Linked DNA regions of Macaca fascicularis. The protein of the gene in region 2 purifies or fractionates together with the protein of the main gene of each other region. This does not show direct contact. Links are inferred from orthologs where the notes say so. Each region holds a gene or a part of one and is shown on either strand. Other genes may lie near its edges.

Region 1 (3,218 bases), on a different chromosome or scaffold from region 2:
GGTCTCAAAAAAAAAAATCCAGAAGTTTATTTAGCTCCTCATCAAGTATCTAACACAATTTTGGCCCTGGGAATGGCCCTGGGCCCCACTCAAAGAGCTTCCTCTCCTGGCATAGCCTGAACAGTAGTGATACCTCTTGAGAAACGATGCACCCCGGGCTGGAGCTGGGAGGCCAAGCTGAGCTGCCCCGTGTTTCAGGGTGTGAACAGGGATCCTGGGGCTGTGAGGCCACCCCACTGCCCTGCTCCAAGCAGCCACTGGGCCTCAGTGGCTTCTGATTCTCTGCTTGAAGGGCACAGGAGAGTCATGGTGGACACCTTTTCTAACACACCCTTGGACTAAGTCTGCAGCAGAGGGCTAGACACAGGCAGCTGTTTGTACTTGTGCATGAGGGAGGAGGAACCTGGCGGGGCACTGTGTCTTCCTCCGTTAAGTTCACAGGCTGACAAGGAGGCACTGGAGGCTTCACCAGCCACAGCAGGCCCTGCCTCAAGCCCCTGCCCAGCCCCCGCAGCCTTCTTGGCATCACAGAATGGAATGTGTATGGGTGGCTCCCCATCCCCCAATTTCAGATTCTCCTAAGTCCCTGGCACAGGGATTCTTCAGCATGTCCCCTAGGCAGGAATGGGAACATCTTGCAACAGACCTACATGTGGGTTTTCCTGGGATTTGGTTTTAACTGTGGGTTTTCCTGGGATTTGGTTTTGCCTGTGGGTTTTCCTGGGATTTGGTTTTGCCTGTGGGTTTTCTGGCCTTCACGAATTCAAGGAAGCATGTGATTTGGATTGAAGGATCACTGTTGGTACAATCATGAGGATGGTCTCAGGCCACCTCTCAAAGATTTCGGACCCGAGGAACTGGTTCCAGACTTGCAGGCCCAGATTCTTACCCCTGAGGGTCAAGTTTCTGGTGGGGCCTGCAGACTTTGTACTAAGTGGCCTCTGTGTCCCTTTCAACAGTAGCCTGTGGCCCCTCGAGGGTTGCTCAGTCCCTAGGTGGCACAGCCAGGGACAGTGGTGCTGAAGCTTGGGTGATAAGCTGTAGTCCCACTGGGAAAGTCCACATTCAGACAGGAAGTGGAAGCACCAAGGCCTACTGGAATGAAGTTCGCAGACAAGCAGTGAGGGCCGCAGGCTGCGGTGCTTCAGGACGGATGTTTGGAGAACGCATGCCAGGCTGTGCCAAGTGGTTGGTGGGGCCAAGCCAGGGATACCTCTTGCTGCTACTGAAGGACCTCCTGAGCCCCAGAGTGCTGAGCACCCCCAAGCCCCACAGAGGAGGTACAGAGTAGGGTTTGGACTCAGTTTTCCCAGCTCCCCACCAGAGGCTCTGCCACCTCCACTCTGTAGTGGTGTGTGGGCTACATCATCAGGGCCAACTTATCAGTCGGGTCTCCTAGGGCCGATGGGTCCAACTGAACAGGACTTCCACCAAGGGGTTACGGAGTGGACCATACTAGGGCCTGTTTCTTCATGAGCGCATGAGGGAGCGTGGGTGCGATCTCCTCAGTCATTCACTGAGCACCCCCTTGTCTGGGCTCTGGGGCACAGCAGGAAGCAAAGTGAGGGACTGAAGTTCCGCTCAGGGAGAGATGAAGTACCTCTAGTTGCTGGAACCTGAGACCAGACTTTGTGACCTTCAGCACAGCCCATGTAAATAGACCTTTGCCTTTTCTCCAGGATTCTCAGGAGCCAGACGCCTGCCGGATCCATGCTGGAAGCAAAGCTGCCAAGTACTTGGCCACCGATGCATTGGAGCTTATGGTGCCTGGTGGCTGGAGGCCTGGGACTGGGGCCCAGCAGTTGGAACCCCCTGCAGAGGGCGGGCATCCTGGCATGGCCCAGAGAGGCCAGGGGGACCTTCAGTGCCCTCACTGCCTGGAGTGCTTCAGTGACGAGCAAGGTGAAGAGCTCCTCAGGCATGTGGCTGAGTGCTGCCAGTGACTGAGACTCACCCGTGCCCTTACGGCCCCCTGGCCCGGTGCAGCTGCCCTCAGGGACAGGGTGGGTACTCTCAGATGCCATGGGTTGAGCTCTCCTGAGATCCAAGGCCCCTAAATAGGTGCGGGGCACTGTGATCATTCCCTTTGGTCCCCCTTTGGCTATGGAACAGGCTGGGTCACAGGGAACTGCCAGTGAGGCTGGAGGCTGGAGGCGGAGATGGGGTTAGGAACATCTGGCAGAGGGAGGTCCTGGTCTGTGTCTCCATCAGGCTGAAGCCAGAGCAATCTAGTGCTAGCGTACCAGCCCCTCCCCTAGCCTGCACCTGGGCATGCCGCAGCTTGCCAGAAAGGGGTGGCTGCCTATGGGGGTCACTTGTATGGTCCTTAGGGTGGAAGCCCCATCCTGTTCTGTAGCATAAGGTGTCTCCTCTCTGCCTTGAACCAGGAGGTTTGTCCAATGGAGCATTGCGGCTGTGCATCACACTAGGGGGGCCGCCCCCGCCATTGCAGAGCCGCATGTCTGCCCTGAGAAACTGCATCGCAGTAGCACTGTCATCTGTCCGGAAGTTAAAGCACACTTACTCTATCCACCTATTTTTATAATAAACGTTCTTGCTACTGTGACTGCTCTGAGAATGTGTGTTGGAAGCTGGGGTGCAGGGACTGAGCAGTATTGACAGCAGCTGGCACGGGAAAACGCTCCTGCTGTTGCCTTCTCCCAAGGCACCAAGACAAGGGGGTGAGTGGGAGCCTGGCTGTGTTAGGGTTCTTTAGAGGGACAGAACTAATGGAATAGATAGATCCATAAAGGGGAGTGTGTTAAGTATCGACTCACACGATCACAAGTTCCCACAATAGGCCATCTGCGGGCTGAGGAACAAGGAGAGCCAGTCCAAGTTTTGAAACTGAAGAACGTGGAGTCCCATGTTCAAGGGCAAGATGTAGGCTGGGAGGCCAGGCCGGTCTCTCCTTTCACGTTTTTCTGCCTGCTTATATTCTAGCAGCACTGGCAGCTGATTAGATGGTGCCCACCCACACTGAAGGTGGGTCTGCCTTTCCCAGCCCAGTGACTCAAATGTTAATCTCCTTGGCAACACCCCCACAGACACGCCCAGGATCAATACTTCGTATCCTTCAATCCAAAAGTTGACACTCAATATTAACCATCACGAGTCCACCCCTTGTCAGCTTGAACCCATACATATTCCTGAGATAATAATCTTCAAATAAAGACAAAAATAAAGTCACATCTAACATAATACAACGATCCTTCATA
Region 2 (3,823 bases):
CACTTTACAGCTTGAGTTGTGTATTTGCCTACTTATAGTCTTGAGCAATTACCTTTACTTTCATACAGAAAGAAATGTAATACTTCCTGGTTACTTTCAAATTCTAATTCAAAATTATGGATTTTAGTTTCCTCTACCTCGTAAGCTAGCCATTCTTACTTTACCTTGCTCCTTTGTGGTATGCTGGTTTTTATATTCCCCGCTTTGTTCTTGCAAATTTACTAGCTTTCAAACTAAGCATTATTTCCTGTCCTCATTCCTCTTCCATGTTAAACTCTCCTTTTTACTCTGTGTTCTAAGATGTACTTTCTATGTGAAATTTGATGTTGTTAAACTCAATTTGATTTATTGCCTATTCTAGAGTGCAGTTGGGGTATGCTTACTGAAAAAATATTTTTGTGAAATGAAATGTCACATATTAAGTAAAATGATCATATTTATGTGCTATCCTTTCCAATATGGCTTAAATATATATTCAAGGAATGTTTATGGTATGACAGTACATTTAAGAGCTGGGCATTTAGTGACTTAACATCTGTTTTCTCATGTTCTATGATAAAATTTGGGTAGAGTTTTACTTGTTTTAAAAGGAAAATTAAGCAGAGTCAAATGATATGACCAAATGAAATTAGGGCAGAAAATATGTCAAGAAGCTGAGAGGTAAGTTCTTCTATACTGGTATTCTCTGGAAAGTTTCATCTAAAGTGCAGTTGTTTGTCAGTTGGACTTTATTTATTTAGTGCCAATTACATTATAATTAATGTAAATTGAACTCTCATTTAGTAGATCAGTTTCTAATGCGATCTATTTGGATCATATATTTAATTTCCCCCTTTTTTCAGATTATGAACTATTATGGAAAAGGAAAAGTGAGAATTACATTAGTAACAAAGAATGACCCATATAAACCTCATCCTCATGATTTAGTTGGAAAAGACTGCAGAGACGGCTACTATGAAGCGGAATTTGGACAAGAACGCAGACCTTTGTTGTAAGTACACAGCTACAGACATCTTCAGAAATAAGATGAGACATAGGACGTTCTGTTTCTTCTCCGTGACAGTCTGTTACTTTTTAGCAGAATAATTTTCTCATTCTACTTCTATTTACTATATTTTACACTTATATTTTTACTATTTGCATTAGAACTACCCTTTCATTCTTCATTAGTAGACACATCTTATGATGGTTAGCAGGAAGACATTTTTATTGTTATTAAAAGTAAACGTAAACTTATTGTATACCGTGATTTCCTTTCTTGGGGTGGACAGTTTTTGAAATAATTTTTCACTCTTTTTTTTTTTTTCAAGACGGAGTTTTGCTCTTGTTGCCTAGGCTAGAGTGCAGTGGCACAATCTTGGCTCACTGCAACCTCCACCTCCTGGGTTCAAGCGATTCTCCTGCCTCAGCCTCCCGAGTAGCTGGGATTACAGGCATGCGCCACCACGCCTGGTTAATTTTTTTTGTATTTTTATTAGAGATGGGGTTTCTGCATGTTGGTCAGGCTGGTCTCGAACTCCCAACCTCAGATGATCTGCCTGCCTCTGCCTCCCAAAGTGTTGGGATTACAGGCGTGGGCCACCGCGCCCGGCCTCTGTCTTTTCATTTATAGTTAACTTATTATTTTGAGACAGGGTCTCCCTCTGTTACCCAGGCTGGAGTGCAGTGGCATGATCTCGGCCCGTTGCATCCTTCACCTCCAGACTCAAGCCATCTTCAGCCTCAGCCTCCTGAGTAGCTGGGACTATAGGCATGCACCACCATGCCCGGCTAATTTTTGTATTTTTTGTAGAGATTGGGTTTTGCTGTGTTGCCCAGGGTGGTCTTGAACTCCTAGACTCAAGCAGTCTTCCCGCTTTGGCCTCCCAAAGTGCTTGGGATTACAGATGTGAGCCATTGTGCCACGCCCATTTACAGTTAACATAAAAATGCCTGGATGTGAGAAAAATCAACTGGAAAACTCTAGAGTTATTATTTAGAAAATGGCAGGTTATAGAATTAACATATAACAATAGTTCTAAGAGAAAAATAATCATGTAATATTTCATGATAGTGAGGCTACCAGAAGATGGGCCCATTCATCATGTTAGAATGTAAATTAATAAAGTCGTCTGGTAGGCAATTTAACTGCATAACAAAAGCCCGAAAAATATGAATGCCTCTTGAGCCAGCCATTCCACTTCTAGGAGTTTAGCCTCAGAAAATAATTACATGTACTCAGACATTATGCTCTAATGCTGTTCATTGCAGTTCTCTTTTTAATGGCAAAAAGCTAGAAGCAATTCAAATAGTAAGCAAAGGGGATTAATTAAATAAACTGATACATTCATGCAATGTACTCCTGTACAGCCTTAAAAATCATATTGTCAGTATGTCTATTGGTATGTAAAGATAGTCACAATATATTAGATAAATAGGTTTTCTGTTTTTTGGTTTTTTTGTTTTTGTGTTTGAGACAGAGTCTTTGTTGCCCAGGCTGCAGTGCAGTGGTGTGATTTTGGCTCACTGCAGCCTCCACCTCCCTGGTTCAAGCGATTCTCCTGCCTGAGCCTCCCATGTTAGCTGGTATTACAGGCATGTGCCACCACGCCCAGCTAATTTTTTGGTATTTTTATTAGAGACAGGGTTTCACCATGTTGACTGGGCTGGTCTCGAATTCCTGACCTCAGGTGATCCACCTGCCTCAGCCTCCCAAAGTACTGGGATTACAAGCATGAGCCACGTCACCTGGCCAGATAAATAGGTTTTAAAACGATATGTAAAGAATAATCCTATTTTCGTTTAAGATAAATTTATACATATATATGAAGTATATATGTTAATACTAAGGTATTAGTAGTTGTCTGGGTGGGTAAGATTGTAGGGTTTTATGTTTTTCTTTTAACTTATATTTTATAATTCATTTTTGTAATGAACATGTATTGGCTTTTGGGGAAAAATGAACTAATTACAACAGAAAAGAGGTTAATAGTCTCTACATATATTAGTAATAACCATTTAGAAAAAAATGCTTTAAATGCTCCTCTTACAATAACACAAAATATCTAGTATTATACACACTTGGCAAATATTTGTCTATATTACTTGACCTCCCAACAACATTTTACACTGTGATCACTCTTTACCTGAAATATTTTTATTCCTTATCTTCTGTGAAAACGAACTTCTGTTTTACTTCCTGCTTTTCTGGCTGTTCTTTCTTAGTTACAGGCAGTTAAATTTTTGGATCACCTTACTTACTGTCCTAATAATGCTCTTTATGGCTGTTCCATCTCTCTCCCCAATTCAGGATCCCATTAAGGATTACACACTATAGGTAGCATTATATTTAACATGAATAACATGAATAATATTTTCATGTTAACATTAAACATTTTGGGCAAGAAATCTATAGAAGTGATGCAGTATAATTCTCAAAATATTCCTTCAGTTTTTTACATTATTAGCAATATTATCTTGGCATTCTATTATAAAGAAGAACTTTCCCTTCCTCTCTTTCTCCATTTAAAAAGTATCACTGTAAACTCATGCATTCTTGTATTTAATGTATTATAGTTATTGTTATTCTTATGATTTTCAAATTGACCCAGATTTGATTAATGCAAGCCTCTTCAAACTGTCTCCTGTGTTTTTTTGATATGTCTTCATCTTTCTTTGAGCACTTTTTTACTTTCTGACAAAACAAAATGTTCAAGACTTGTGCTTTTCTTTTTTGAGACAGAGCCTCGCTCTGTTGCCCAGGCTGGAGTGCAGTGGTGCGATCTCGCCTCACTGCAACCTCCCCCTTCCGAGTTCATGTGATTTTTGTGCCTTGGCCTCCCAA

What was found.
Region 1: the proteins of REL (region 2) and TNIP2 purify together in Homo sapiens (affinity purification with mass spectrometry; 3 studies listed by BioGRID and IntAct, counting the BioPlex papers as one, with this or other methods). This does not show direct contact. The link is inferred for Macaca fascicularis from reciprocal best matches to the Homo sapiens genes REL and TNIP2.

Annotation. Positions count from the first base shown.
Region 1 is NC_088379.1:2,914,225-2,917,442, reverse strand, and holds the end of TNIP2 (TNFAIP3-interacting protein 2), read left to right. Parts: intron 1-1,679; coding exon 1,680-1,902; coding exon of another isoform or gene 1,903-1,943; exon of another isoform or gene 1,944-2,085; intron 2,086-2,387; coding exon 2,388-2,545; 3' UTR 2,546-2,566; downstream 2,567-3,218. UniProt on the Homo sapiens protein: Inhibits NF-kappa-B activation by blocking the interaction of RIPK1 with its downstream effector NEMO/IKBKG.
Region 2 is NC_088387.1:61,075,386-61,079,208, reverse strand, and holds part of REL (proto-oncogene c-Rel), read left to right. Parts: intron 1-842; coding exon 843-991; intron 992-3,823. UniProt on the Homo sapiens protein: Proto-oncogene that may play a role in differentiation and lymphopoiesis.